Xenopus tropicalis: one gene and its partners. The main gene of each other region encodes a partner of the protein of the gene in region 6 in a complex. Links are inferred from orthologs where the notes say so. Each region holds a gene or a part of one and is shown on either strand. Other genes may lie near its edges.

Region 1 (4,506 bases), on a different chromosome or scaffold from region 6:
GCACTCTGCAGCTCCAACCTGGCCCAAGGAAAGTCTCCCATAGGGCTCAATAGCACTCTGCAGCTCCAACCTAGCCCAAGGAAAGTCTCCCATAGGACTCAATGGCACTCTGCAGCTCCAACCTGGCCCAAGGAAAGTCTCCCATAGGGCTCAATGGCACTCTGCAGCTCCAACCTGGCCCAAGGAAAGTCTCCCATAGGGCTCAATGGCACTCTGCAGCTCCAACCTGGCCCAAGGAAAGTCTCCCATAGGGCTCAATGGCACTCTGCAGCTCCAACCTGGCCCAAGGAAAGTCACGATACCAAAGCTTGAATGAATCCGAAACTTTCGTACTCGTTGTGACAAATACAATATTGTTGCGTAAATTATGACGCACAGTACGGGAAGAAATCGATGAAAATACGTACAGTTCAAAAACTTAGAAAAAATAAGTAGGAGACAATTGTACTTTGATAAATGTGCCCCTTAGATTATCAATGTTGACATCATATCAAAAATAAATTCAAAGGTGAAAAACTCCTTTAAAAGTTATATCTCTAAAATTATGCTCTAAAGGAAGCCTGACCAAATCTGCATCACTGTCTTAAAACTATAAAAGTCTGAAAGCCAGGCCTATGTGCTATGGGCTATGTCAGGCCTGGACTGCCACTTTCAGTGTTTCAGCAAAACCAGAGACGCTGCAGTATCCTGCAACTAACTCATACTATTGGGCCTGTCGAAGGCTGTTTGGGCCTCAGTAATAGCACGGCAGACTGTGAATCTCAGCCCAGGTGTGGGTTATGGGTATGGCTACTGACTGACCAGGAACTAGTTAGAGCAGGGCCGCCAACTGAACGCCCACAGACAAGATGTGGCCCTCCAAGAAAACCCAACTGGCATCTTTGGATAACATCTCAATGCGGCCAACAAATATGCTAAAAGTAAATATCTGGCCCACTATATGGAAATAATTGGCAAGCACTGACTTAGAGCATAAAACTGGTGCTTTGGTTAGTAAATATATAGTTCTAGTTTCTTTTTCTCTATAGGGCATATTAACTGCAGTGTGAAATTTACAATTTTGACTATTTTCAGCCAACGTGAAAATAAGCCACAACATCGTCAATTTATTAAATCAGGAGAGTACACCACATTTTGGTAAATTAATTTCACTCAATTTCAATTTGGGGAATATTCTATTCACATTATTTTACCAGGTGAAATTTTTCCAGTGACTATTTGCCAATTTATCAAGGAGAGAGCATCAACTTTTGCATCTCATTACCTACGTCACCTCCTCCATGCTAACATTTCACATACCTCATTTCTTTGTGGCATAAATTCTCTAGAAAATCTTCAACACTGCAGTTGTTTGTGAATGGTCACAGGTGTATTTGTATCATTGTTGTGAAAATACACATCATAAATTGGAATTGAACTTTGCGCTATATTATACATACATAGGGACTTATTTATTATAGTTTTTACATCACATACTGTGTCTCATAGAAATTATGTCACTGATATGAAGAAAGACTGGCCAAGTTGGGTCTGTTTACACTGGAGAAGAGGCGCTTAAGGGGTGACATGATAACTATGTATAAATATATAAGGGGATCGTATAATAACCTCTCTGATGCTTTATTTACCAGTAGGTCCTTCCAACGGACACGAGGGCACCCACTCCGTTTAGAAGAAGGGAGGTTCCATTTAAATATTCGGAAAGGATTTTTTACTGTGAGAGCTGTGAAATTCCCTCCCTGTATCAGTTGTGCTGGCTGATACATTAGATAGCTTCAAAAAGGGGCTGGATGGCTTCTTAGCAAATGAGAGAATACAGGGTTATGGGAGATAGCTCTCAGTACAAGTGAGAGAATACAGGGTTATGGGAGATAGGTCTTAGCTCTCAGTACAAGTGAGGGAATACAGGGTTATTGGGAGATAGGTCTTAGCTCTCAGTACAAGTGAGGGAATACAGGGGTATGGGAGATAGCTCTCAGTACAAGTGAGGGAATACAGGGTTATTGGGAGATAGGTCTTAGCTCTCAGTACAAGTGAGGGAATACAGGGGTAGGGGGGATAGCTCTCAGTACAAGTGAGGGAATACAGGGGTAGGGGAGATAGCTCTCAGTACAAGTGAGGGAATACAGGGTTATGGGAGATAGCTCTCAGTACAAGTGAGGGAATACAGGGTTATGGGAGATAGCTCTCAGTACAAGTGAGGGAATACAGGGTTATGGGAGATAGCTCTCAGTACAAGTGAGGGAATACAGGGTTATGGGAGATAGCTCTCAGTACAAGTGAGGGAATACAGGGTTATGGGAGATAGCTCTCAGTACAAGTGAGGGAATACAGGGGTTTGGGGGGATAGCTCTCAGTACAAGTGAGGGAATACAGGGTTATGGGAGATAGGTCTTAGTACAGGTTGATCCAGGGACTGGTCCGATTGCCATCTTGGAGTCAGGAAGGATTTCTTCCCCTCTGAGGCAATTTAGAGAAGCTTCAGATGGGGTTTTTTGCCTTCCTCTGGATCTACTAGCAGTTAGGCAGGTTATATATAGGCATTATGGTTGAACGTAATGGACGTATGTCTTTTTTCAAGTTAACTTACTATGTTACTATGATATCATCAATGCTTCCTTTACTAGTGGTTTAACAGGGTTGTGTTATTCTGAGAAAGGCTTGTGCTGTATATGTACATTAGTGCATATTGATACTATAACAATACTAAGGGGAGGTTCAGGAGAGAGATCAATGGCAGGGCAGTGCAGAGTCCCAGGGAGTGCTCACATGTGTATCTGCTTTTTGATCTCAGACATCTCTACTATACAGACCCACATCAGCAGCTATACCACCCCTTCCTAGACCCCAACTTCCCTCACCTGCACCGCCAGACTCAGCCCCTCTGTCATTGCTTGGTTGAAGGAGTCGATATGAGCCCGAGTGATATCCTGCAGAGGAGGGTGCTGGCTCTCCCCGGGAATCCCATAGTCGGGACTGGTAAGTTTGCCCAGGCTAGGCTCCCTGAGCAGCGCTTGCCACTTAGTGTCCGTTTCCATCCTGCAGTAAGTGGCAGTCAGTTAGCCCTGAGAATCCTGAGCGCCAGGCAAGCAGCCCATGTGCAGGGGAAGGGGCGGGACTAGCCACACGTGTAGCGCTGCAGCCTACTTCCTACTTGGGACGCACTTCCGGGACATGTCACAGCTGTTCTGCTGGTGCCTGGACTCTTGCCGGGTTGGATTGGAAGCTGAGCAGCAGTCGCTCTTAGAAGCCCCTTGGTGTATGTACACAAGCACGTATGGTTCTATTCTGTATGCACTGCTACCCAATGTCCACAGCGTCAGGTTAAAATCAATTCATTCTGGCAGTGTTAACTTTCCCTTTTAAATGGCTATGTTCAGCTATATCGCCTTCACTTAATGTGCCTGTATTGGTCGTTCCCACAGGAAACTTTCTAAAGGGGAGTGGAGGGGGGTAGACAGTAGTTCAAGTAACTTGCATATAGAATGGGGAGGTGGGGTATAATATAATTTTTTTTATTTATGAAGCTCTTCATAACATGCAGATAAAGCTAATGCACTACAACTACCAGCACCCTCCCATCAGTAGCTATCTGGCAGGGTTTATTCAGCAAAAACTACAGGCTACAAGCTAGTTGTCCCTCTATATACACAGTCTGACTTGTTATAGTCTAGGGGTGCATTGCAATATGAGTTCAGTGAATAGGGCATGAGCTGAACATTCTTTTTGCCTATTTTAAATAAGAAACAAATCAATGTTTGGTCACCAAACCCAGTTGAGTTGCCTCCTCACCCTATTTAATACTGGCCACATATAGAATCGATATCCTGCATAGTAGTGATGTGTGGGTCGGGTGGGTTTGGGATGACTTCGGCACATCATTTGCGGGTTGGGTGCGTCCGGTCACCCTCCATGCCCACAACCTTACACAGGGCCGCTGCTGGCCAAATGGGTGCCCTAAGCAGAAATGTACTTTTGTGCCCCCTCCCCCAAATATTACGGAAGTAAAAATAAAATAAAAAAAAAACACCTACTATAGGGGCCCCACACACAGTGCCCCCAATAGCCCCCATAGATTGATTGAACTATCCGGGACAGCGGGATGCGCTATAAAAACCAGCGGGACAGTGTTGGGGGGTATGTTATAATATATAAAAATGGTTTGTTTTTTTTGGAGCAGCTGGGATGGTGCCCCCCTGGGAGTTGGTGCCCTATGCAGACTGAGTACTCTGCTTATAGGGAGCGGCGGCCTTGACCTTACACTGCCAGCTTCCTCTTTCAGCTCTCTAATTTATAGGTGCACGCCCCACCCCTTTTGTGAGGATTTCTAACCCGCACATTACTACTGCATAGCTAGTTATCAGTTAATTTAGATGCAGGCTGAACTGATTTATGTGAAGCCATGCAGCATGTATTTAAATGAATTGCTAACTAGTCATGCAGGATTTGGATTCAATATGTGGCTGGTATTAAAGAGGTGAAGTGGCAACTGTTACAAATAGACAC
Region 2 (4,726 bases), on a different chromosome or scaffold from region 6:
AGGTTGCACAGCACTCATCAGTGAACAGGACTGTTTGAAAATTAGTCTTCATGTATTTCTCTGCCCAATGCAGCTGATTGGTTAGTGGTGGCCGAATAGAAGGTTTATGCACCGTTGCAAGATTTTGGAGTCCCACGGACATCAAGGTGTAGAGTCCTCCAGAGGCACCAGCAGCTTCAAATATCTGTTTGCTGCTATGTAATGGCATTTTAGCAGCTGCTCTCTTGATCCGATGCATGGATCTAGCAGAAATCTTCCACAATGTGCCTTTATCTGCACGAACACGTCTGTGCTCTGAATCAGCCAAAAATCTCTTAATAATGCGATGATCACGCTTAAGTTTTCGTGAAATATCTGTTTTGATACATTGTCCCAAAGCATTGAGACACAATGCTATCCATGATTTTAATTGAAAATCAAAAAATCTAAGTTTGGAAGATAACAGGTACTTCAGCTTTCCTCTAGATCTGCAAGCACCTAGTTTCCTTAGCACCATGTTAACCCAAATTTTATCATACTTAAAAAAGACATTTGGCTACTGTAATGCCTCGTAATATATGGTAAGGAGTGACTTTAATCGCTTACCTTTTACAGAAGACAGAAGCAGGAAGAGGAGATGCTCGCTCGCAGCTACCCCGGACTGGTGCGGTTTTCTCCTAACAGGATCACCAGTCCGGGATACCTGCAAGAGAGCATCTCCTCTTCCTGCTTCTGTCTTCGCGCGTATGCGCAGTAGAGTGAAAAGTAGGGATGCACCAAGTTCGGGATTTGGGCAGAATCCAGCCTGTTTTGAAGGTTTCGGGCGAACCGAATCTGAATCCTAATTAGCACGCCGGATTTTTAACCCTTCTCAATCCTAATTAGCATTCGGCAGAATCCGTCAGAGTGGGTTCAGCCGAACCAAAAAAAGTGGGTTCAGTGCATCCCTAGTGAAAAGCCCAACTTTAACATAAAAGCCCAGGGATTCCGAAGACAGAAGAGATAAGGAAGAGGAGACGCTCGCAGGTACCCCGGGCTGGTGCGGTTTTCTCCTAACAGGGGCACCAGCCCAGGTGCGTAAGTGATTAAAGTCACTTGGGGGTGCCTAACATTTTGGCACCCACTTAGCCTTTCCTTCTCCTTTAAGGGCTATGGCAGAAGGGGAGACTAGTTGCCCGCAACAAATCTCCCTTGACGCGGGCGATTTACATTTTCGCCGGTGGGATGGCATTTCGGGGAGATTAGTCGCCCGCAACAAGGGAGATTTGTCGCAGGCGACTAATCCCCCGTGTGCCACAGCCCTTAGGGAAGCTGTTCTAGCATTGAAGTGCTCAGCACAGTGCAGAAATGACAAGTATTACTGCAACATCTGCAGAGCAGCTACTCCTGAAATAGTCTGCATTTTCAGTTATCCACCAGGCTACCAGCACAGCAGTGCTTCTTATCTTCTGTGACAAATAAATGGTGCAGAACAAAACTAAAAAAGGATGCAAAACTGCACAGATCCTTTTTAAGGATCGACCTACCTTTGGCATCAACAGATATTCATCTTTAAATGGGTGACATTAAACATAATTATTTATATTCATCCAGACACCCAACTATTTATTCAGCTTAACACAACTGAACCGTAAGCCCTGACCCTTAAAAACGGAATGAGCTCCTACTAAGCTTATGGGTATGTATATTTTCTAACACATGGTTTACTTCTGTATACCTTCTGTATGCTCTGTGTGCATGCTGCTAGAATGCGCAAGATTCTGAGGGGGAAGGGGGCAGAGAAAGGGGGTGGCCTGAAATAGAAATCCGGGGCTGCCTCCACACCTCAAAAATCTTCAAAATTTTAAGACATGAATAAAATGGGAAATGTGACACATCATTTGTGGTTTAAAGAGAGATGAAGACCAAGGATCAGACTGATTGTCCTGAAAGCTAATCACGTGTCACTACTGGAATATGCGGTCCTATCTATAACTTATTATAAACCCATAAGTTGGCCACAAGGGCAGATAGGCCCTGTGTTTACTGGTTGCCCTGGGTTTCAACTGCGGTGCAAAAGTAGAGCAGTATGTGTTAAAGGAGACATATAGTAAAATAAAAGAAAACTCCAATCTCATAGGCAATTATGAATAAAATACGGTGCTGGTTTCACTCAGGTCTAAAAATCAATACTACCTGTACAAATGGAGCTCCCTATAGATCCTCTCATCCCGAAACACTATTTTTTACTTTTTAAAGCACATTCCTTCTATATTTAGATGAGTAAAATTTTGGCACCAGTGTCAGACTTGGACCCCAGGGGCCCACCAGAAAACCTTAGACCATGAGTTTCCTGGTATCCTGGTGGGCAGTCCGACACTGACTGGCACAATAGTTTTTTTACACAATACGTCCCCTCTCCACAGCGCACAAGTAGCGCAGACTAATCATACCCAGCTCAACTTGAACTACTACCTGAAAATGAGTGCACTGGGCTGAGGCCAAATAATAGGGCACAGGTGCTAGCCACAAATTACTCTAGCATCTTATTTATCTTCACTACACAACAAGCAGCCTATCGCTTCAACTTGTTTACAGGGTCAAACACTACAAACAAAGCCCTGTAAGTAGCATCTTCCAGCATCCTGCGTTACCCAATCACATGGTCAGGAAGGCGACAATGTAACCATACAGCATTTCCTTCCCACCTTGACAAGCCACATTCCGGTATTCTGTTTTGCTCCATTCAGGTCCAAATCCCCTTTCTCGGCGGCCATGGCAGCGATCAGTACAAGAAATTGCTGGCAGCAGCACCTGGAAGACACAGCACAGCGGAACTCAGTTGCCGGTGCACAGAAATGTACGGGGCGCTAGTAAGGACACACTTCCGGAAGCGCTCACAAAGCCTCAGTAGGGTGCGCTTGTACTATAGAGCCAGTGCGGGAGCAGAACAGGAGGGGTTAAAGCATAGGCGGATTTTCGATAAGGCTGCTCTGGCACCCTAAAAATAAAAAAATAAAATAAAAAAAACCTGGCTCTGTTTCGCGCTGTGCTGCAAATCTTCTCCTGTCCCTGCAAGCTCAGGGTTCTGCTCTAATCAGCTGTGCTCTGATTGGATCTTTCTTCTTGTATATTCTCCAATCAGAGCACAGCTTTCTTGACAGACAGTAAAATTGACCAATCAAGACACAGATGCAGACAGGGATCGGGAAATTTTGCAAACTGCAGAAATGAAGACTTAAAAAAGAAGAATCTGCAGACTGTAAGTTTACCCATGAACCAGCTTTGAACTTTGCTGCAGTTTTCATCCCACAGGTACTATACTGTATATGTTCTAAAGACTGACCCACTAGCTGGAATTAAATTGTTTTTTGTCATCTGACATTTATAATATCTCCTACCCTAAGTTAATTTTTCCCCCTGACAAAGCTCATTGTGCTTTTATATATTTGTTATGGTTTTTTGCACATTCTATTTTTTTTTTACTTTTGTCATTGTTTTTTTTATTTATAGTAAGTTACAGTGGGGCCAATGCTGTGTATCAGTGCCAGTGTTATAGTGCCAGGGCCTGAATATCTGCCATCTGTACCCATTGCTCCTCATGGCATATAATGTGCTGGTTTTGTATATAAAGACTGCGTCTCACTGTATATAACGTGCCTGGGATGTCAGTACCTGCTGCCTCACTTTCTATAAAGCTAACTTAAGCACATCTAATGGGGAGGTTCACTTTTAAGTTAACTTGTAGTATATTATAGAATGGCCTATTCCTAGCAACTTTGCAATTGGTCTTCCTAGTTAATTTTATATAGTTGTTGAATAATTTGCCTTTTGCTTCTGCCTCTTTCCAGCTTTCAAATGATAGTCACTGACCAAAAAGTATTGCTCTGTGAAGCTACAGTTTTATTTTTCCATGCAGCCCCTTAACTATTCATATTCCCATCTCTTGTTTAAACCACTACCTGGTATATAAGACCCTAGCAACCAGATAGCTGCTGAAATACCAAATGGAGAGCTGCTGAACAAAAAGCTAAATAACCGAAAAACCATTAAAAATAAAAGAGGACCAATTGCAAATTGTCTCAGAATATCAGTGTCTACATCATATTAAAAGTTAATTTAAAGGTGAACTACCCCTTTAACCTAACTGAACACAAATGTATAGAGAACCCCTAACAAAAGTGCACGTATAAATGCTTTTACATCCTAAGCATTTTAGGGTTAAAAAAATCCCCCCCAGCCGCACTTTTGCACAGTATCCCTGGGAGTCAGTGGGAACTGCCAGAGGTAGTTGGGAGGTTAATTTTTTACACCAGCAGTGAATCCACTAAGTGTCACATTAGCTGTAGGTCAGTCTGTGTATGGGCCATCTTTAGCCTCCCCAAACAAAAAAGTCATCCTCCGCCTATGGGTAAGGTAATGTTTTATTGTGTTTGTTTGCAAGTTTCTAGCTCGCCTGGGTGGTTGTTTGGACCGATGGGATTTTGTACGTGAGAATGATTTAGTGACTTATCCATGTTTTCCGTAAAGATAACAAATGCGCAGCAGATATCTGTGACAGGCCTTCTGCGCTCCCAGGACACGTTCTGCACTGAGGCGACTGAAAACACGCACTCGACGCAACATCAGTCCAGTGACAAGGCAATATCTATAAACTGTGCGCAACACCACATTAGATTGTCTGTGGCAGGGTAGGCAAAGGCTTGGTAAGGAGAGCTGTGTTAATAAAAGATGTAACTTCTACTTCTGCACTCAAGTTTATGCATTT
Region 3 (4,645 bases), on a different chromosome or scaffold from region 6:
CTAAACAAAAATAATGGCAATGAAGTAAATAATTTCCATTTAAGTTAAAATAATATTACATGGCAATGCAATATGCCACTTTTGCAACCACAGAGAGCCAGCCTATAGTTTTATTCATTACCTTGAAATAAACTGATGTAGATATCAGTATTCTAAGACAATTTGCTATTAGCCTTTATTTTTTATGCTTTCTGAAATATTTAAATTTTTTGCTTTGCAACTCTCAGGCTCGGAATACTAACTGCTATCTGGTTGCTAGAGGTTATATACCCAAGCAACTAGGCAACAGATTAGAAGACAGAATAGATCAATAATAGTGGACCTAAAAAATTAATAAATTATAAAAATCATAATACAATGAATCTGTTGATCTGTTTTGAGATGCTTGGGGTCAAAAGCGCCATAAAGGCCAAATGATTTTTTGACTGGAAAGATGAAAAATATTGAATGCTAAATATAAAACAAATACACAAAAAATAAGTCTAATTAAAAGGTTACTTAATAGAGGTCCAGCTATAATTTACTAAATGTTAATAACACGAGGAACATCTGAACATCCCAAATAGCATTGGTGATTGGCTCAACGCACTGTAGACTGCAGCTGAGCATGCTAATGATCCAGTAAGAATACAGAGTATGTACTGACATTTACATGTGGGAATGTGGGAGTGAAGTTAACAGTTGCAGACGTGACACACGCAGCAGGTGCTAACACAGTATCACAGTAATACAGTAGCACAGAAACACAGTACGAGAGTAGCACAGTTTAACACAGACAGTAGTACAGTAACACAGTAGCACAGTAACACAGACAGTAGTACAGTATCACAGTATCACAGTAACACAGTAGCACAGTAGCACAGTAGCACAGTATCACAGTAGCACAGAAACACAGTAGCACAGTAGCACAGTATCATCACAGTAGCACAGTATCACAGTAACACAGTATCACAGTATCACAGTAACACAGTATCACAGTAACACAGTAACACAGTAACACAGTAGCACAGTAGCACAGTAGCACAGTAGCACAGTAACACAGTAACACAGTAGCACAGTAGCACAGTAACACAGTAACACAGTATCACAGTATCACAGTAACACAGTAACACAGTAACACAGTATCATCACAGTATCACAGTAACACAGTAACACAGTATCACAGTATCACAGTAACACAGTAACACAGTAACACAGTATCACAGTAACACAGTAGCACAGTAACACAGTAGCACAGTAACACAGTATCACAGTAACACAGTAACACAGTAACACAGTAACACAGTATCACAGTATCACAGTATCACAGTAACACAGTAAAACAGTATCACAGTAACACAGTAACACAGTAACACAGTATCACAGTAACACAGTAAAACAGTATCACAGTAACACAGTAGCAGAGTCAGGCTGATGAAAGCTTTCCTCCTTGGAAACGTACAGTCCCCACGTGCATTTGCTTCCTAGTTACGAGATTTCCCAGGTCTCATGCTCGCGAGAGTTTGAGGTGAATTTCCTTCCGTGCCTGAGTGGCTCATGCGAGTGGGACTCTCAGAGTCGGGGCCCGAGAAGGTGGGACCACGGTCGGTTCCCGAGTTCCGGGGCAAAGGGGTTTGCGACGGACGGAAAGCATGGAAGAGATAAGGGAGGGTACGAAACTGCTGAGCTCCAGTGATGTGGCCAGACTTCAGGAAGAGCATGGAAAGGTAAACAGAGGACGAGTGCCATGTTACACATGTGAATGTGGCAGAGCATAAGCCAGCCAGGGCAGAGCGCTTATGCACTAGGGTACAAGTGCGCCCAGCGGGCTTAGGGCAGCCTGTACCATGGTTAATATAGACAGTATGGGCTTGTTCCCCAGCAAAGAGAAGAGCACACAGTTGGAATAAACCACTTAGCAGCACATCACTCATTTGCTTTTTATCACTGTAACTTTTAGACTAGTCGGAGCCCATTGTTTTGTACAAAATGGACTATATTTGGGCATTATGACACAGGGCCATTATGACACAGGGCTGAGCATTGGCCATCAGGAAGGTAGCACAGGAAACTGAGAAGCAAAACAAATAAAGGAGGATGTATGTTATTGAGCAGGATGTACAGCTACTGAAAGTTATATAAGTTCCACTTGCACCAGAATATGCAGCTTAGTATTACCATTGGCGCTGCCATAAAATCTGAAAATGTTAAGGTGTAAATGCTTAATCCCATAGGGAACACAGTACTCTGTCATGTCTGTGCACATTTGACAGGTACCCTGTTTATAAGTTAGGGTCAGGCAGTGAGACGCTTCCAGCATCTTTTTAACAGGAGGGCTACAGTATGCACAGCCATGATCTAACTCAGCCGGTTGACTTTGCTAAGCATAATGTACCACTGTGACCTTTGAGTTGACTCAAATTCAGTGTTGTGCTCCATAAGAAATAAAAGTTACATTGGGCATAAAATTGACAACAATTCAGTAAATAAAGCTTGTTATCTTATAAAATTGCAGTTGTCTTAAAAGTGGCAGGACTTGCACCTTTTTTGAGCAGTAATGCTGTGCCAGCTATTAATGCAAACACCAGAGTACCTCTTGTAGCAGGAACAGTCTAAATGTCATAGGCAGTGCTATTGGTATGGCATGAGGCATGTAAATACCTTCTGTTCTCAGAAGGCCTCACACTTCATGTCTTGCAATGTAAAGGACAATTTGGCTCCTTTTACCTCTTCTCATCCTAACCAGGTCAGTTCCTCTGCTTAGCAGTTCACTTACTAGTATTACTGGAATCGTAGTTGAGAGCAAAGAGGCAATAATATAGTTATCTTGGACTCTACAGTGTTCATTGAAGCTGTGTAAGGGTGAAGACACATGGAGCTACTTAGTAGCAGCTACTTGTAATGGCTACTAAACTCCAGAAAATACCATACCATAGATAATACTGAGAATTGCCTCTTCTAACACACACGTAGAGACAATTATCAGTAAATGATCAGCACTGTCTATTTTTGTAGCTGCTACTAATAGCTCCTTGTATCTTCACCCGTATTGTTATCCCTTTAATAATCCATGCTGAAAGCTTGTACCTGAATCCTTTGCCTACAATTAGAAAACTGAAGAGCTAGCCTAGGAAGGATGTGAGCATAGTGTTCCTAATGGAAGGAGTGAGCAAGTTTTGCATATTTTTAACATATTGTAAATTTGGTGGGCTGTAAGCACAATGACTGAGCATATTTTGTACTGGTGCACATGCAGTGCAGCAAGACAAAAGGGTTAATTTGCAAAGAATTATAAGCTTATATAATGCTGAATATGACATTCTTCCAAGCTTCTGATTAGAAGCTAAGAGCTTTAAATCTCTAAGTACAAAGTATAGACTGAGGTATTTTAAGAAGGAGTTTTGGATGATTCCGATTCTCAAGTCTTCTTACCCTCTGGTAACACAAGAACACAGGCTGGGGTTTATTTACTGACATAGGGCAAGTGTGCATTGGTTCAGTAAAACGTTGCTGTTGATCAGTTCGCTCATTGAATCAGTTTACTGGATGTAGAATACCAAAGCCCTTATTTGGGTTCCTATGGGCTAACATATTGGTATAACTAGTAATTTTTGCTTGTATTGCATCATCTGTAGAGTTAGGGCTAATAATCCTATTACGATATTACAAAGCAGAATTAGAAATTTTCTGATTTCTCACTGTGTATCACACTGTGCACTGTTGCACAGACTTTTTTTGTTTTTAGTGCATTTGTCACTGTATGTGTATCGAATAAGTCATTTATGTAGTTATGACAAATGTCAAATGGCACATATATGTTTTTGCCTTTAAAATTTATGCCCACTTTTTCTGTACATGCATTTGTCTTCTGGTACAGTATTATGTGTCCCATTGCCCATCAATATAGTTATCTAATTTTGCCCTAAAAGCATGGACCCACAGGAGTGGAGACAAATGCATAATCTAGAAAGAAATCCAGAATACATGTAAAAAGTAATTTGTAGTGAGCCTTAAAGGAGGACTAAAGGAATATTGTCATGTTTTTTTTTTTTCTCCCAAAAAACACATCCATTAATAGAGCTTCTCCAGCAGAATCCTGCACAGAAATCCACATTTGTGCTGCACAGAAATGTAGGTCATAGTAGCTGATTAATAACCATTTCTCAATGCAGAACACATTGGTTTCTATAGTGACATTTATTGTGAATATAATTAATTACAAATATGCTTTATATTAACAAACTAGAATTCACAATATACTGTGCATTGTGAATCAGTCCCTAAGCAAAAGGTGACTGACAGCAGCCCTGAGCATGTTCTGTAACTTAGTAGGTATAAGATGGGGAGCTACTGTTGGTGTCTTTAGAAGATATTTACTTTAAGGGCCGTGGCAGACGGGGAGATTAATCCCTTATCACGGGTGACTAATCTCCTCGATATGCCACCCCACTGGCTATAATGAAAATTGCCAGTGGGATGGCATATGCGGCCCGATTTACATTCTAGTTGGTGGGATGGCATTTTGGGGTGATTAATCGCCCGCGACAAGGGAGATTTGTCGCGGCCAACTAGTATCCCCAAAACACCCAAAACATAAGGAGTAGCATTTATACACTAATTCTTTGTTGCCTTTTGGGAAAATTTTAAAGGAAAACTATACCCCCAA
Region 4 (4,431 bases), on a different chromosome or scaffold from region 6:
AACCTGAAGGGATAATAATGTAATACCCCTGTAATTCCTGTAAGGGGAGCCCTGAACACAAGAACAATCCCATAACACTGTACGGTTTAAGGCAGTATAAAAGGGTATGTAGGCATGGGCTGGGAGTAAATATCAGCTTGCTTGGCATTTTACATGCGATGGGTGTGTGGCAAACACAGTCGGGGCATTACCTATAATCTGCCCCTCCAGCTCTACCATTATGGTCACATGGTTCTGGTATGAGGTTAAGGATATTTGGAGTCTCACAGCTGCGACTTTTGGGGTAGTCCAGGAGATATAGGGGGTCACAGTGGCCATGTCTTACTGGAAAAGTGAAGGGGTCCTAAATGGTTTTGCTATTAAACCCAAACGAGTCTAGTGGCAGCAGTGCAAATGTGTGTGTGACGTGACTGATGCTGAACTACAGTTTTCAACAGCAGCGCCAGTTGCAGGGAATCGTACACGGCGTAGGAGCTGCCATACAAACACACCGATCAGTACGGGCCGAGCTCCGGCTACAGGACTGGGTACTAAGAAGCAGCGCTGCTCTATTTCCAGGAAAGGGCGCTCTGAGGTCACAATTCCCCACCCCGAGTCGGGCTAGGACTCTCCGTTCTGCCTGCAGGGGGCCCCCGCCGCCTCTCACCGTAGCACCCGCCCAGCACCGGGAGGGGACGGGATCCGGAAAGAGCAGACGTATCCCACCCCCGAAAGGGAGGAACTTCTGGCTGGGAGCCGGGATTCCTGTTGGGCGCGTCGGGAAGCAGCAGCGATGCGGTCCCGGTAACTGTACAACCCTAGTCCGGTGCGAGGGAGGATTAGCGCGGCAGCGACCCCCAGGCAAAGCCGGGTTCCTAGCCGTAAGGGCGGCCCGACTGAGCACTGCCGCATACCCAGCGGTACTCTCCCGTCTCCAGTCCCAGGGAGGGGTCGCTCCAACCTGACACAACCCACTGACTCTACCGAAGAACCGTCTCACCCGGGAACCCCTGACCCTAGCGAGTAATGCCTGCGGGGCTGGTCCTTACTGGACCAAAACACCAGCTTTCCGGGCACCCTATCCCGCTTAGTCCAACCCCCACCCCGGGCTCTGACTCTCCGTACCAGTAAATAGCATCTTTTCGAGCCCCCGTCCGTAGCGAGGAATACACCCTAACCTACCGCCCGCTTCCGAACCAGCGGCTCCCGAGAAAAGCGCTCCCCCCTTTGTTATGGACCAGCCGTAGCTCCGGCGTCCGCTCCTTCCCTGCCGCGGCACGGCTTCCACTAGTACGGATCAGCCCATTCCGCGACCCAGGGGGAGCCTCCGCCTTAAAACGCTTTTCATTGGGATCGCTGGTAGCCCCGACTCGTTCACCCTGTGCCGGGAAGCCGCTTGGGCTGCCTTGAGCAAGGTGCGGGGAAAGGCTCCGAATCGGATTCGGCTAAAGCAGAGCCCGTATGGTTAAACCATCAGACGATCCAGTCGGGCTGCCTGCGGTAGTATAATGCGCCACAGGCTCGGCCGACTTTCACCCACCTCGTTATTTGCCCACAATGGGTCCCTTCGCTTCTACCCGCGAATGATTCTTTCGCTCCCCGTTAGACACCGGCCGACTGCCTCCTTAACTACCGGCAGCGCAGTCCAGGCAGCATCTGTTCTTCCCGGGAAACAGGGTCACCTTCTACCCCCTCTCCGCTCCTACTCACCGTGAGAAGCGCCGTCCCCAGCCCGAGTCCCCTGCCAGCCCACGTGTCGCGCCCGGAAGCCCCGCAACAGCAGCCGGACGCCCCCTCGCGTTTCCCCGCAATATGCACCCGAGCCCCGGCCAGCTCTGCCTCATGTTCCCGGCCCCCTCCCTTCGGTGCTCCGAGCCGTGTCGGCGCAGCTCCCCGCAATCTTCCCGGGCACCCACCTCTCTGCTCCCCTGGGAACGTCTCTCTCCTTCCCCCTCCGCAGCTCTTACCTTGTTCCCAGCTGCCGGGCCTCACCTTCCGGCCAAGGGGGGAGGAGGAGCCGGAGACTCGGGGGAGAGCGACCTCAGCAGCCCCAGCGCGGAACTAGCAGCCTCTTCCCGAGAAAAACAAGCCAAAGCCCGAGGGGAGGGTGCCTGGGAGAGGGCGCAGCGGGAACCCGGGCTGCTATTGCCCTTATTGGGTTCCACACTGCCCGTCACATACAGTGCCCTTCCCCGCATTAAACAAACCCATGCCCCGCAGGGTGAGCCCGGGCAGGGAAACTGAGGCTACACGTACCTTCCCCATAACCGCAACGGGGTGAGTCGCGCAAGGTGACCGAGAAAAGTGCATGTTTCTCGGCAAGCCCGACTGAATCGTGCCCGCTTGGAGGTGACATTTTCCCCGGGTTTCCCCGCACACTAACGCCCTTCGGTGGCTACAAATTCCCCGGCCGGTAGTGGATTTTATACTAATCCAGCGATCTGTGCCGTATCCGTCCCCAGGTGCCCGCAGACCCCCAAGCCGGCTTACCCCACTGTCTCTCCCAGGGATGTTGGGGGGAATCTGCTTGTCCGGATCTCGGAGACAAAGCGGCTGCGGCAGCCCCTGGGTAATGGCGAGAGCTCCGGGGGAGGGGGGGCGCTGCCTGCTCCTTCTCCCCGCCCAGCGTCGCTGCAGCAGCAGCCGGGCAGACAGAACGCGGGGAGCCGCCTCCTCCTCCTCCCGCTGCTGCACCCTACACAGCCCGGCAGGGGGGCCTCGCCAGCTCCGGGGGAGTTCTATGGAGCTCAGTGAAACCCACCTCCTGTGTGTGTGTGTGCAGCCCGGGCTCGGCTTCCTCCTCCCCTGTACAAGGCTGGGGAAGCGGCGCTTGAATGATGGCCAGATCTGCAGCGCTGGCCCCGGGCGTGGACTCAGACCCAGTCCCCGCAGAGAGCTCGCACTTCCCCCGCCTCCATCGCTCTCCGTGCCTATACAGCCTTCCAATCAGCCAGGCCCCCTCCAATCTCTCCCTGCAACAGGCTCCAGCTGATCCCTCCATCCCTCCCTTTCCTCCATCCAGCCAGCACCGCAATCTGCTCCCCATTACCAGCTGCCGCTACAGGCACCCCTCACATTCACCTCATACGGCAGCAATTTGCTTCCAGCTGTTGTCCAACTACAGCTCCCAGATAGGCTGTGCGGGCATTCTGGGAGCTGTAGTCCAACAATACAGTGATCATGGTTGAAGCAGGGCTTGGTGGCTGCTCAGATCCGGCGGCTGCTGGCTGCTCAGCGCTTCCAACCATACACAGGCGCTAAACCCCCCATAACAGGTTTTTATTCCCTATATGTTGTTCCTGTCTGACTCTTATTTATCTTCTCCTTTTTTTTAACCTAATTTTTTTTTTGACTCCACCTTTGTTGTTGAAAGCGTCAGAGAGAGGGAGCCAATCATGGGGGAAGCTTTCCTGGCACATCAAGGAGGGTTTCTTCTCTCTCTCTCTTTAACATGAACAGCAATCAGGCATAATGAGCGGGGAGCAGCTAGAGATGCCAGGAGCCCATACTGTGCCAGGGGAAGGGCTTTGCGCCTTACAGTTATTAACCCTTATTTATATGGTACTGACACTGCAGCAATGAGCAGAGATTGTACACCAGCCCCCGCTCCAGTGGAGCTTACAATCTAAGGTTGCTACCACATTCACTAGGGTCAATTTATCAGTACCACTTAATCTGCCTGTATGTATTTGGAGTGTGGGAGGAATCCCAGGGAGTTGCAGCTAGTGCCCAGGCTAGAATGAAACCCAGACAGCAGTGCTAACCAGGGGTGTAACTATATACAGGGTTGAACTGGGGGGCCCTGTCCTGGCCCCCACTGTCTGCTCAACTCCCTCTGCCGTGTGTCTTAGCTTATGTGCAACAGGGGAGAGAGCGCCATGGGTTTTGGGCCCAGTCCAACCCTGACTGGGGTGGGGGGCCCGACTGCAGGGTCTGCTGTGCCTTAGTCCCCCCTCCCAGGCCCCTTTCCTACCTTAAATATACTGGTGCAGTCTGGCCGGATGGAGGGACTGGTTGCGCCGGACCCTCTCAAAAGCTTTTTATGCAGGGGGCAACCAAGTTATGCCACTTGTGCTAACCCCTATGATGCCCATTGGTCAGAGGCATGAACACTGAGACAACACTGAAATCTACTTTTGCTGGCCCAGTTTGGTTTTTCGGGCAATGTTGAACTGGGCCGGCAGGGCATGGGGAAAAAACAGTGACTCCCCTTGCAGGCACTGGCGCTCCCCCCCTCCCATTGCGGCCGCTAGGAGGAAGTCACACAGTGGTGGCGGGAGAAGCATACAAAAGCAGCTCACGACTGTGGTTGGGGGCCCCCATGCAGCAGCCCCAGTAGGCTTCGGACAACCCAGTCCAACACTGTTTTCTGATCAATAATTTCTATGCATGTTTAGGGTGTTAGTGGGGAGTAGGTGACAGGAGTGTTGTGGGTATATAACATAATTTGTG
Region 5 (3,964 bases), on a different chromosome or scaffold from region 6:
AGTGCGTGCATAGCTATCAATAGAGAATTCCCTACTATATACAGAGGTCTCCTTTGTAAGAATGCTGTCCCCCCTTTTTTAATACTTACTCATTTCATTAAACATAAAGGCATCCTGGTATTCCTTCATGTACTGTGTTGACCGTGACTCATCCAGAAAGAGCGAGTAAACTCGTTTGATATCATCCACTTGCACCTCGGTTCCCTGAAATGCAAAAATCTGTCAGCCATATAATGTATCATATACCCACCAAGGGGTAAACTAAATTGTGAAATAAATAAGAAAGATGGCCATTGTTTATATGCACAAACTGCAGCTACTTGCCTCAGATTGCTTGATAGTCATAAGCTATTTGGAAACTAGGTAGCAGCAATAATCTACAACCCACATATGCAATGCTGCCTGGACTCTCTAAGAGCTATGGTATAATGATTAAGAGTCGTTCTAGGCTCACCTTCCTCTTCCTGCAGACCAAGCTAGCTGCTGTTATTAGTTGCATGGAATATCTGAGGGAGGTCTCTAGGCCAATCCTTGTCAGAACAGTGTAAGCATCTTCAGTCATATCCACGTCTTCCTCCTCGCACCTGAACAAGATGTGGAATTGTTTCAAAATTATTCAAGGGCAACTCCACCCAAACACAACTTAAGTTTTTTGAAAAGAAACAATTTCAAGCAACTTCGCAATATACATCAATTAAAAAATATGCAGCCTATTCATGATGTTTAATGTAATATGGTTTGGAACAGTTCCCTAAGCCCCGCCCCTGTTCCCCTGCTGATCTGGCGGACTACTTTGAGACTCAAATAAAATGTAACAGTAGTTGACTGTCCTAAGCCTGCATCATCCAAATCCCACAATGCCCTGCACAATAAGGAAAGGAACATCGCAGTGAAATGCATTGTGGGTTATGTATTTCCTGCATGCTGTCTGTAAGCTGTGAAGAAGTTGTTATAATTTGTTTTTTTAGTCCCTCCTCCCCTGCCAGGATTTCAAACAATGCAGAAAGAGAAGAACTGTTTTGCAGCTGGATTCCAGAATATAAAAATAGTGTTGTGTGGGGCTCTTTAACACATTTTGGATCTGAAGTCAGAGTTCCCCTTTAACGAGAAACAAGTAGAAAAAAAAAAACAATAAGAAAGTTAATTATATAAATGGGCTTGCATTCCACTGGATGGTGTCATTTAAGGGGTAAAGACGACGATAGTAACATAGTAAGTTGGGTTGAAAAAAAGACACGTGCCCATCAAGTTCAACCATAATGCCTATATATAACCTGCCTAACTGCTTGTTGATCTAGAGGAAGGCCAAAAAAAAAACCCCATCTGAACACACTCTAATTTGCCACAGAGGGGTAAAAATGCCTTCCTGACTCCAAGATGGCAATTGAACCAGTCCCTGGATCAACTAAGAGCTCTCTCCCATAACCCTGTATTCCCTCCTGTAGTAGTTCTACACAATGCCATATAATGCCTTTTGGCTCTCAGGCCTGTACCCTCAAAAGTCATTAAATGCAGTTTCTTACCTGATCTTTAGGATCTGTTTGGTCTCTTTTTCATTGTATGGTGAGGTGGAGATAATGAGTAATCGATCCAGTAAATCAATAGGAATTCCATGGGGACTCTGGTAGTTTGTGCCCCGAATTCTATTTTAAAAACATTAAAAACAAAAGAATGAAAGTCCAGAATATGTTGGTACTTTATAAATACAATGGTCAGACACCAAAGCAAGCAACATTAGTCCAACTGCAGCATCTTCCCAGGGACACTTGTCTGTATCTAGGACTGTGCTAAGAACAACCAACCAAGCTGGTCAAACTGATAAAAGGTTACTGCACGGATTCTTTATATGAGCTGCACCTTGCTCAGCACAACAATGTGAACAATGTGACAAGATCCTATCAGAACCATTGCACACATTGCAACACCTATAATATCTCTTCACACAGAAGGAAAACCTATCTGTAAGCTTTGTGCCAATGGGTGTGACATAAAAAAGCAGCGACGTGTTAAAAGCACAGTGTTCCCAAGAAAGGAGCCCAACTTTCTGGTAGACCCAAAGGTGCCCATACACGGCCGATTCTAGCTGCCGATATCGGTCCTTTAGACTGATTCGACAGCTAATCGGCCCGTGTATGGGCACTACCGATGTGCCTTCCAGACAGATATCTGGCCTGAAATCGGGCAGGTTAAAAAATCTAGTCGGATCGGGGACCGCATCGGCTCTGCCTATACCCTTCGTTATAATAATACCGAATTTGCCTGGATTCTCCCAATATCGCCCACCCGTAGGTGGGGGATATCGGGAGAAGATCCGCTCGCTTGGCGACATCTCCAAGCAAGCGGATCTGAAGGTGTATGGGCACCTCAAGGGTTATCAGGTCAGATAAATCTCTCACACGTCCTTCAGATCGAGACAAAGCGTGAAATAGACTGGAATGAAACCATAAAAGAGTTCTACACACACCTTGCAGATAAATGGCCAAGTGCAGCGGCTGCGACCTACCTGGTTATTCCTCTGTTGGTGGCCATTATGAGAACAGGGGCCATGTCACTTTCCAAAGCTCGATTCAGAAAGGAGAAGCATTCTATATCCAGCATGTGCACCTCATCTATGAACAGCACCTGTTGAGCACCAAAAAAAAAAAAACTAATCAAAATTAAACTTAAATTTAGTTTAAACTGCGGAACTACCAAGTATTTTTCATGCAGCTTTAAAGCATGAGGATCTGTAAAGGCCCCAGAATAACATACCCTTCACCCTGCATGTAGATTTATTTTGTTTCTCTATTACAAGCAGCTGTAGTGCTAATCTTTTACAGACTTCCTTGCCTAGAGTGAAGATTCACCCCTTTTTTTCTGAGCACTCCTCTCTCAGACTATGAAGACCTCAACGAAGTGCCTACTGGACATGCCTCTGCACCAATTAAAACCAATTAGGCATGCACAGTAGGCACCTCTTTAAGGTCAGAGAGAGAAGGAGGGCAGAGAAAGCAAATGGGGGCGGAGCTTCAGGCTAGACAAGAAAGTTAGTAAAAGAGCTGCAGTTCAGCTGCTTGTAATAGAGAAACAAAATAAATGAGAAATTTTAAGTTTTTTTTTAAACTGTAAAAATTCCGTAAAATATATATCCAAAGTAGTTATATTGTTTTAGCAACAGCTTCCTGCAAGTTAAAAAAAAAAAAATAAAAAAAAATTGCTTCATAACAAGGACAAGTGTTTAGCTATGTATAGCTACAGAGGGCTTGCAGGCAAAGATAAAGAACAAGTTACCAAACGTTGCAGCAATATGAAAAGCAACTTTTTATCTTCTCTACAGAAGCACAGTGTGCTTTCTTATGCAGCCCCTTATTCCCATAACCTTGGTGCGAGCGGCCAAATTATTCCCGACAGAGCAATCTTGTTGTTTTCTAAGGCATTGGCTAAGAGTGCCATAATAATGAACTCTGCTACCCAAACACACATCTGGCCAAGGACAGCCAATGATGATTTTACTGTAAAGCTAAGGTAAACACTGGTGCTCTATGTTTTATTCACTATACACATTATCTATTTATTTATTTTTCTTATTTCAAATATTGTGTACAAAAAGAAATCAACAGAAGATCAACAACTTACACCAGGAATAATCTCAGCCTTCCCTTCCTCTCTCCATTCTGCAACCTTTGCATTGATCTGTTCTCGCACCTCTGATTTAATCTCCCCTGTGTCTCCTAAAACAGAAAATTCCATTATGTTAAAGGAACAGTAACATCAAAACATAAAACTGTTGGAATACCTAGTAAAGTAATGGAAATATAATGTACTGTTGCCCTATACTGGTAAAACTGGTGTGTTTGCTTCAGAAACTCTACTATAGTATAAAAAAGCTGCTGTGTAGCCACGGGGCAGCCATTCAAGCACAGGATACAACACCGCTTATCTGCCTATATAAACTGTGCCTTTTCTCCTTTTTCCAGGTTGAATG
Region 6 (4,561 bases):
CCTTTGAGCACACTAAATGTGTTATATCCCTTTTCGAAATTTACATTTTTCACCTACGTCTGAACTATGTTTGACCCTACTGGCTTTCTTTTAAAAGGTGATTATAGTATCATAGGAGAGGAATGCTAAAGCAGGTAATTGGGAAAGCTGTGGTTATACAAATGTAAAACATAACACCACGTGCATAGCACAAGTATTATCAACTATAACTATTCTTTTACAGTGTGCAAAGGAAACACAAAAAAAAAAAAAAATTAAAATGTAGTGGGCTTTTATTATATTCTGAATTACACATCCTGCCTATCATTTGCTATTAGAGGTACCGAACTACAAATTCATCCAGCAATCGAGCTACAAATGCAACATATTGGGAGTTTTAGTTTACAAAGTTATGGTCAAATGTAAAATCCCTGAGCTATCAGAAATAAACAGTACAGAACTTAATAAAGATGAACTTCTAAACTATATGGACTCACAAAAAAAAAAAAAAAAAGATTTTTGTGGGAAGGTGATACTGTTTATTGGTTAATTAATTTTAAACGGTATCATGTTACCACCTAAAATCTTTTTTCTGAAACTATGGCTAACACATTACAATACTCTGCTGCTACTCATCAAGAAGGCACCTAACGTTCCCATGTGCACCCACCTATTACATGTCAGTGTGTATGGATAACAGAAACGTTTCAGTATGAGTGAAAGTGTTTCTTCCCCTTCTGTATTAAAACTCACCTCATGCTCTGTGATATTAATCAGAAGCTCCTGTTGTAGAAACTGCTCCAGAATGTATTTGGGTGCCATATCCACCAGGGACTGCAAAATAAAGAGATTGCTATAAAGATAGGAAAGCTGGCAGAAGCTTTGGATAGTATTTATTATGGACTAACACCATGTAAACATTTTACTACATTAACTGATAATTTAATAATTAAAATATTTTTTCAGATTTTGGCAGTATTTATCCTATGCATAGGAAACAAGGTTTCAACTGGATTGAAGTCAAAAGGGCTCACTTACAAGAAGTAGGTGCAGAATTGCCAATTTTTTTTTTTAACGTCTTTATTATGATTTAGCATGAAAAGGTTACATTCATATTTATATGCAATGACCGGTCCATCCTCTTTCCTATATCATAGGAGAGAAGGTTTATAGTTGTCCTTTACCTTTCCATCAGGCAAATAAAGTGATTCGATCCTGTTTTTAGAAAACGTGGTAGTAGTATTAAGTAATAATCATACAATATTAACTAGTAACTAATTAACTAGTAAACGTCTGCCTTTATCTTACTTGCCAGAGAACATAAAACGGTAACCTGCTTATACTTGGATAATATGACTATGTTAGTTCATCAGCCAGAATTGCAAATTTTAAACAGCATACGCATATGACCTGCACCTACTTGCACCCAAGCCCTGTGCTTAACATCTGGTTTGACCTGGTGTTATGCAGACCCAGGCTGAGATTCAAAATAGGCCCTAATATTTCAAATACACAAAGGCCCAAACAGCAACTGTCTGTGGGATCTTACAGCAGTTCCTCTGGCATTTGCCAGAATCCACAGACTGGCAGTCTGGGCCTGGTGTTAAAGGAACAGTAACACTAAAAAATAAAAATGTTTTAAAATAATTAAAATATAATTTACTGTTGCCCTGCACTAGTAAAAGTTGCGTGTTTGCTTCAGAAAGACTACTATAGTTAATAGAAATAGCTGCTGTGTAGCCATGGGGGCAGCCATTTAAATTGAAAAAAGGAGAAAAGGCACAGGTTACATAAGAAGATACCAGATAAACTGTGTAGAATACAATGGGAATCTGCTACTTAATTGTTATCTGCTTAGCAACCTGTGCCTTTTCTCTTTTTTTCAATTTAAATGGCTGCCCCCGTGGCTACACAGTAGGGTATTTATATAAACTGCAGTAGTGTTTATGAAGAAAACACACAACTTTTACCAGTGCAAAACAATAGTATATAATATATTAATTATTTTTATACACTTTCATTTTTTGGTGTTACTGTTCCTTTAAGCACTGGGCCTCCTTATGCACTCATAGCCAATCAAGGTTGTGGAAGCTGAACTGCACATGACTGACAACCATGTAAGTGTATGCCTATGCTGCAGGAAGGATGCTGCACTGAGGGGTAATATGGCAAATTGCACTTTTTTGCATTTAGCAGATGAGATCTATAGTTTTAATAATAGGTGTATTCCTTTTTAAAGAAGGGTCTTTCAAACTTATCCCATTTTTAAGATAAAAAATAAAGCTTAGGTGTCTTTTGCCAGCAAAACATACAAATCACATAGAAAATTAATTCATCGGAGTAGTATATATTTTATCTGTACATTTTCATTTATAAAAGCTTTGGATCAGAACTGCAGTTCACCCAGTAAGTATGCTTAGGTAAGGTGCACGTTAGCTGGCAGAATTACCTGTTTGGCAGATGGGGTCATTCCCTGCTGCACCACGATTAAAGCCCTCGTAATGTTCTCCTCCTGCATTCTCTGGCAATACATCTTAATTGTCTTAATGCCAACTTTGGGTTCCTCTACAAATAAGACAGGCAAACATGTAATAATCCTTTGTCTGCATGTATAGACCCTTCAGCCAGTCACTGTTTTTTTTTTTTTTTTTGCACCTACTCACCTGGGAAGAAAACAAACATTTGGTCTGTGGGATCATCATTATGAGCTACTAATACAGTCAGGTCAGTTCGGCGAGGGCGCCCTTCGCTAGGTTTGTCCCCAAACTGGGCTTTAAACTCATCCAGTGTCTGATCCAATTCATCCTGCGTTACTAAGTAACCACGGTCATGGCACAGCTGGCGAAGGAAAGAAGGATGCGAGTGAAACAGGTAATATGGAGACAGATGAGGTAAAGCACAAAAGTAAAAGTGACAGGGACGAAGAGTACAGTAGAAGTATATGCTGGAAGCAGAAATGAATGGTACCCAACACAACGTAGCTGAGTTCGAATTACTGAAAAAGGCGAAGATTATAACACAAAAAGATTTAAAACTCAATTTTCTCACCTGCATAATAGTTTTGCGGATCTTCCACAACCGGTAAGTTTCCTCCTCATCGTCCATGTTGTCTCCACGAGACCAAACAGGAAGAAGAGCGCGATTTCCGGAGCTCGGCTCCCTGGGCTGCAGGAGGACCCTACATGGGCTGCCCTCACTCTGCCTGATGGCTACAAGCGAATACTGCTGTGGGGTATCTCTGAGGACGTGTTATTAGCTTAAAACTGCACTGTGGAAAAGGAATAAAGTTGCGCATAATATCGTTTCCCTTTTTTGCTGAAGGTGGCTATTCGGGTTGTAGAATTTGTTCAAGTTTCGGTATCACGCTAAGGAAGACCAAAGAAATTGCATCGTCGCAGTTGAAGGGCTCGGCCATGTTTGTGGTAGGCAAGAAGCCGGCGTACATGTTCTTGTAAAGATCACCATTTTGTTGGTGGGTATTACTACCGTTCCTATATTCATCGTCTTCGTGTATTTATATTGCGTCACATAGTTACATGGCGCTCTGCATTAATATTATAAGTGGCTAAGTTTAAGAGTTAACCCTCTAAAGGTATAGGGATTAGTTATTGGCAAAAGAGGGTGTGGTAATGTGCCAATGATAGGCTAACTACAAGAATTACGTAAACTAAATATTCTTTAGAAATACTTGTTAAACTGTTTTAAGGCGAGCAGTGTTTTATTAAGATTTTTTTTTATTTTTGCCCCAAGCCCCATTTTGATATATAATATTATCTTTATGTATGTATATATATTTTTATTTATATAGCACTACTTATGTACCCAGCGCTGTACAGTAGGACAATAAATGAATAGAATAAACGGGACTATTACAATAAAATAAATACAAAGTATGATAGTAAATACAAGGTAAGGATACAATACGTTAAATTAATACTGTCACGGGAAAAACGTATTTTTTAAAAACATATCTGTTAATAGAGCGTCTCCAGCAGAATCCTGCATTGAAATCCATTTTTCAAAAACACAAACTGATTTTTTTTATATTTAATTTTGAAATTTCACGTTGGGCTAGCCATATTCTTCATTTCCCAGGGTGCCACAGTCATGTGACCTGTGCTCTGAACTCACACTTTACTGCTGAGCTGCAAGTTGGAGTGATATGAACCCCCTCCCAGCAGCCAATCGGCAGAATAATGGGAAGGTAGCAAGATAGCAGCTCCCAGTAGATCTCAGAATTGCACTCAATAGTAAGAAATCCAATTCCAGCTTGTGACTCCTTCAGTTATATGGAAGTAGGAGAAACAATAGGTTATCTGAAAGCAGTTCCAATGTGTAGCGCTGGCTCCTTCTGAAAGCTCAGACTTGCACAATGCTGCTTATAGACCAATATTACAGCTAAAAAAATACATTTGTTGGTTCAAGAATAAAATGTTAAATGGTAGACTGAATTATTTGCTATGTAAATAGTGTAATTCAGAAATAAAAAGTATACCATAAAAATCACAACAGTATCCCTTTAACAATCAAAGAGACAAGAGGGTGGACATCTCTGTTTACAATCTAAATGGGAGGGTAACTT
Region 7 (3,964 bases), on a different chromosome or scaffold from region 6:
GTTATGGCATTTAGAGCCATCTGACACCTGATATTTGCAATGCTAATTAAAATGGACATGCAAAGTAGTGGAACCCAATGTCAAAAGAAAGCAGCAATGAAAACACCCTTTGTGCCATATATATATATATTTATATATATAAATATATATATAATATATAGTATCCCTATTTATATTTATAACATATATATCCACCCACTCACCTTTCTTTGAAACACAAGGCCGAATTCACGCAAGTGTTGAAGAAAAGTAAGTAAGGAATCACTCATCCCTTCCACAGAGTAATCCTTTGGATGGAACAGAAAGAGTTTGTACACACAAGAAAGTAACATTTGATTTCCCTCTTTTCCCACACCTTGCTCAGGCAACTCATCAGTCTAGCATTTTATATAGGAAAGCAATTGCTTTATTTTATTAATACACAGACAGGAAAAGTAAAGTCTGTCCCTGTATGTGTATTAATAATTATATAGGTAAAGTCTTTAATACCAACAACATCAGTCAGAGAAAAGAATGTCAAAAGTTGACAGAATGGCAGGTGGAATGTTAACCTTCCCTTGTGGCCTTGTGCATTGATATGCTCATAGAATTCCTCAGTGACTTCCAATATCTTCATAGTTACAATAGGTGGTACATTATTCCATATTTCAATAATGATATTGTATACCTCCCAATGCACAGCCCCGTCCCATAGACCCAACTGGCATCCATATCCTTTGCATTCATACTGGCTCCTCTTAAATACTAAAAATCCTACAGTTTGGGCCCATTCTTTGTGTTATTCATCTGTGGCACTCATTAGTCTTTTACACTGATCTCAAATGTTGCAGCATTTTAGCTTACCTTTCCCAATGTTGAGAAGCTTAACTGGAACATGAAGGAGAGTATTTCCACCAGAATCATCCCACGAGACTTAAATAAACAAGGCCGTATTATTAATTGCAAGATGAGAATATGATACTTATTATATATAATATAATAGCATCAGTTTATACACTAAACCATTTAGAGACCTAACAGTAACAGTCAAACAGCAAAGTCTCAGTCCATTTGCCATTAAGTTATTTCATTTATACGAAGAAACTTCTACAATTTCACCTGCCCCCTCTAAATGTAATGTGGCTAAACGTAGGCTTTGCACCATGCTTAATAAACAAGCCCTAGTATGTGTCAAGTAGGTATCTTATCTAGGGGCACTGTATTGAGTAAACTGGACATTACTAGGTTGATTTAGACCAGGGGTCCCCAACCTTTCTTAATCGGAAGCCACAATCAAATGTAAAAAGAATTGGTGCCAAATAAGGGCTAAGACTGGCTATAAGGTAGCCTTTATGCACACTATAAGCTTACAGGAGACTCTATTTCAATGATCCCCAACCAGTGGTTCATGAGCAACATGTTGCTCACCGACCCCCTTGCCCGACTTGTGGCAAGTTTTGGTTGAAATAAAACAAGATTTACTACGAAATAAAGCCTCCTGTAAGCTGATAGTGTGCATAGAGGCTGCCTAATAACCAATCTTAGCCCTTATTTGGCACCTCCATGAACTTTTATGATGCATGTGTTGCTCTCCATGTTGTTTTTCATTTGACTATGAGGAATAAGAAAGGTTGGGGATCCCTGCTTTATTTGGTAGTAAATCTTGTTTTTATTCAACCAAAACTTGCCACCAAGTCAGGAATTCTATAATAACTACCTGGTTTGGGGGCACGGAGAGCAACATCCAAGGGGTCGGTAAGCAACATGTTGACCTTTTTTGGCATAGGTGGCAAAGGATGAAGAAAATCATCTCATTCTTTAATAGGTGAGGGAATAAATGATCGCGGATACAAATATGTGACAAAAGATTTACTTACCTCTGCGGATTTGAGATATTGAAGCATAAAATACCAGAGCTGAGAAGGTGTGTCCAAAAGCAAAAATTGGAAGCCAGCTGATGAAATACAGGGGGCTTCCCCAGACTCACTACAAGAAAAATAAAATGCGCAGAACGGAATTAGTAAAAACACACATATATCTTTATGAAAAACACAAAAATAGCATCACGGGGTGTATTTTCTAAAAAGGAGCAAGTTTACCTCAGTGAAGCAACTCAGCACAACCAATCAGCTATTATCTGTGATCAGTCTCTTGCAGGTAGATTAACAATAATATATTTTTGATTGGTTGCTATGACCTACTGCAATTGAACAAACTGAACCACTGTAAATACATAAGCCCCACAAATTACAACTGAATTACAAAAGGTTGGCTCATTAAAACATTAATTTTATGATCTCAAATTTATGTCTGCTTGTGCTTTGGCACATAACCATAAACAAGCTGCATCAGACAGGTTTTAACCCAGAAATGCTCAAAAGCAATATAACAGGTGGTTTCCTACTAGCTGAAATATGCTGGCAGAAAAATGTTATGTGCAGAAAGAATCACCGGCCCTTTTCTATTTAAATGACAGATATATCTCCAATATTATGTATACACAACAGAGGGGTAGCTGATGTTTCTCTGCTGTTGTATATGGTACTTGTGCCACTGGCCTGATATTTACATTGGTTTGAAATTACTCTTCAGGTTTATGCTATTTTTCAGGATTACGGCTATCCTTTACCTACAGCAATCCCCAATATATTTATATATATGCCGTGAACACAAAAATAAATGACTTGGCCAAATGACACATAAGTCGTTTTTTTAATAAATAAGATATGTGAATATAAGTTATATACATAAGGATGTTAATAAGTATACTCAGAACAAGCAATGCGTGCAATGAGAACAGGTCTTACCTTTTCATAAGGCCGGCCTGTATAAGCAGTTGTGCCAAGTCCTGGCTAACAGCAGCACTTGGAGACCCAACCATAAAATGTAAAATAACCTAATACAAAACACGAAACATAATAGTTTTATTACATTAGGGATTAGAACAAATTATAAATAAAACACACAATAACAGAATTTTTTATTGAACAAATCTATTCAAATGGGAATGTTAAAGACAACATTTATAATGGTAAGCCACACAGTTACTGGGTTACTAATGATTACTGCAGATGTACAATACAGGTATGGGGATCTGTTATCCGGAAACCTGTTATCCAGAAAGCTCTGAATTACGGAAAGCCTGTCTCCCATAGACTCCATTTTAATCAAATAATTCAGATTTTTAAAATTGATTTCCTTTTCCTCTGTAAAAATAAAACAGTACTTGATCCCAACTAAGATATAATTAATACTTATTGGATGTAAAACAGTCCTATTGGGTTTAATTAAATTTTTATTGATTTCTTTAGTAGACTTATGGTATAAAGATTCAAATTATGCAAAGATTTTGCAGAGTACCCTTGGTCCCAAGTATTCTGGATAACTGCTCCTATACCTGTACTATAAGTTTCATATCAACACATACATTAACCAAATATTTTAGTTAGCAAAAGAAAAGCAGAAGTATTAAACAAATAAAATAAAGTAGTGCCCACCTCCCATCTCTCTTCTGCATACTTATCCAACGAGACCACATCTTTTCCATGTTTATCAGGGCCTAGTAGGCAACCATCATCTGCCCAAGGTTTTCCCCTATGAAGGTAAGAAAAACACAGTACAAAATCAGCCATGGGATACTGTACCTGGGCAGACTTTACCCCCAAATGTAATAAAAGGTGCTAAGTTTGCACAGGAGCAGTAAATCTCAGCAACCAATAAAATATTTGCTTTAAAACAGGTAACTATATTATTACAAAAACATCATTAGTGTCTCATAATTACATAACTACTGTCTGGTTCACTGGTCTTCCTATGTGATTCTCCACTAGGGATATATGATTCTCGCCCACAGTAAGTAAGACATCCTTGGATTTGAATAAATACTTACTCAAATCAGGCCTGGCCTTAAAGTTCACCTGGGCCTGGCTAGAACCATTCAGGTCCACTCTGGATATTAAAGAGATGGCTTTACTTGAGGTATATA

What was found.
Region 1: polr2e (region 6) and polr1b share a complex: the UniProt entries of both Homo sapiens proteins name them as parts of the pol I pre-initiation complex. The link is inferred for Xenopus tropicalis from reciprocal best matches to the Homo sapiens genes POLR2E and POLR1B.
Region 2: polr2e (region 6) and gtf2f2 share a complex: the UniProt entries of both Homo sapiens proteins name them as parts of the TBP-based Pol II pre-initiation complex. The link is inferred for Xenopus tropicalis from reciprocal best matches to the Homo sapiens genes POLR2E and GTF2F2.
Region 3: polr2e (region 6) and uri1 share a complex: the UniProt entries of both Homo sapiens proteins name them as parts of the PAQosome complex. The link is inferred for Xenopus tropicalis from reciprocal best matches to the Homo sapiens genes POLR2E and URI1.
Region 4: polr2e (region 6) and ubtf share a complex: the UniProt entries of both Homo sapiens proteins name them as parts of the pol I pre-initiation complex. The link is inferred for Xenopus tropicalis from reciprocal best matches to the Homo sapiens genes POLR2E and UBTF.
Region 5: polr2e (region 6) and ruvbl2 share a complex: the UniProt entries of both Homo sapiens proteins name them as parts of the PAQosome complex. The link is inferred for Xenopus tropicalis from reciprocal best matches to the Homo sapiens genes POLR2E and RUVBL2.
Region 7: polr2e (region 6) and gtf2h4 share a complex: the UniProt entries of both Homo sapiens proteins name them as parts of the TBP-based Pol II pre-initiation complex. The link is inferred for Xenopus tropicalis from reciprocal best matches to the Homo sapiens genes POLR2E and GTF2H4.

The regions. Positions count from the first base shown.
Region 1 is NC_030681.2:38,727,975-38,732,480, reverse strand, and holds the start of polr1b (DNA-directed RNA polymerase I subunit RPA2), read right to left. Parts: upstream 3,145-4,506; 5' UTR 3,039-3,144; coding exon 2,862-3,038; intron 1-2,861. UniProt on the Homo sapiens protein: Catalytic core component of RNA polymerase I (Pol I), a DNA-dependent RNA polymerase which synthesizes ribosomal RNA precursors using the four ribonucleoside triphosphates as substrates.
Region 2 is NC_030678.2:133,829,669-133,834,394, reverse strand, and holds the start of gtf2f2 (general transcription factor IIF subunit 2), read right to left. Parts: upstream 3,042-4,726; 5' UTR 2,990-3,041; intron 2,773-2,989; 5' UTR 2,736-2,772; coding exon 2,667-2,735; intron 1-2,666. UniProt on the Homo sapiens protein: TFIIF is a general transcription initiation factor that binds to RNA polymerase II and helps to recruit it to the initiation complex in collaboration with TFIIB.
Region 3 is NC_030680.2:71,278,984-71,283,628, reverse strand, and holds the start of uri1 (unconventional prefoldin RPB5 interactor 1), read left to right. Parts: upstream 1-1,487; 5' UTR 1,488-1,631; coding exon 1,632-1,706; intron 1,707-4,645. UniProt on the Homo sapiens protein: Involved in gene transcription regulation. Acts as a transcriptional repressor in concert with the corepressor UXT to regulate androgen receptor (AR) transcription.
Region 4 is NC_030686.2:18,522,946-18,527,376, forward strand, and holds the start of ubtf (nucleolar transcription factor 1), read right to left. Parts: upstream 2,897-4,431; 5' UTR 2,470-2,896; exon of another isoform or gene 2,236-2,469; intron 2,101-2,235; exon of another isoform or gene 1,690-2,100; intron 1,662-1,689; exon of another isoform or gene 1,520-1,661; intron 1,459-1,519; exon of another isoform or gene 1,162-1,458; intron 1,069-1,161; exon of another isoform or gene 492-1,068; intron 1-491. UniProt on the Homo sapiens protein: Recognizes the ribosomal RNA gene promoter and activates transcription mediated by RNA polymerase I (Pol I) through cooperative interactions with the transcription factor SL1/TIF-IB complex.
Region 5 is NC_030683.2:113,409,533-113,413,496, forward strand, and holds part of ruvbl2 (ruvB-like 2), read right to left. Parts: intron 3,711-3,964; coding exon 3,616-3,710; intron 2,623-3,615; coding exon 2,504-2,622; intron 1,644-2,503; coding exon 1,524-1,643; intron 585-1,523; coding exon 455-584; intron 205-454; coding exon 90-204; intron 1-89. UniProt on the Homo sapiens protein: Possesses single-stranded DNA-stimulated ATPase and ATP-dependent DNA helicase (5' to 3') activity; hexamerization is thought to be critical for ATP hydrolysis and adjacent subunits in the ring-like structure contribute to the ATPase activity.
Region 6 is NC_030677.2:100,196,438-100,200,998, forward strand, and holds the start of polr2e (DNA-directed RNA polymerases I, II, and III subunit RPABC1), read right to left. Parts: upstream 3,095-4,561; 5' UTR 3,085-3,094; coding exon 3,028-3,084; intron 2,818-3,027; coding exon 2,643-2,817; intron 2,545-2,642; coding exon 2,429-2,544; intron 814-2,428; coding exon 733-813; intron 1-732. UniProt on the Homo sapiens protein: DNA-dependent RNA polymerase catalyzes the transcription of DNA into RNA using the four ribonucleoside triphosphates as substrates.
Region 7 is NC_030678.2:143,590,716-143,594,679, forward strand, and holds part of gtf2h4 (general transcription factor IIH subunit 4), read right to left. Parts: intron 3,574-3,964; coding exon 3,477-3,573; intron 2,876-3,476; coding exon 2,787-2,875; intron 1,966-2,786; coding exon 1,857-1,965; intron 913-1,856; coding exon 844-912; intron 288-843; coding exon 204-287; intron 1-203. UniProt on the Homo sapiens protein: Component of the general transcription and DNA repair factor IIH (TFIIH) core complex, which is involved in general and transcription-coupled nucleotide excision repair (NER) of damaged DNA and, when complexed to CAK, in RNA transcription by RNA polymerase II.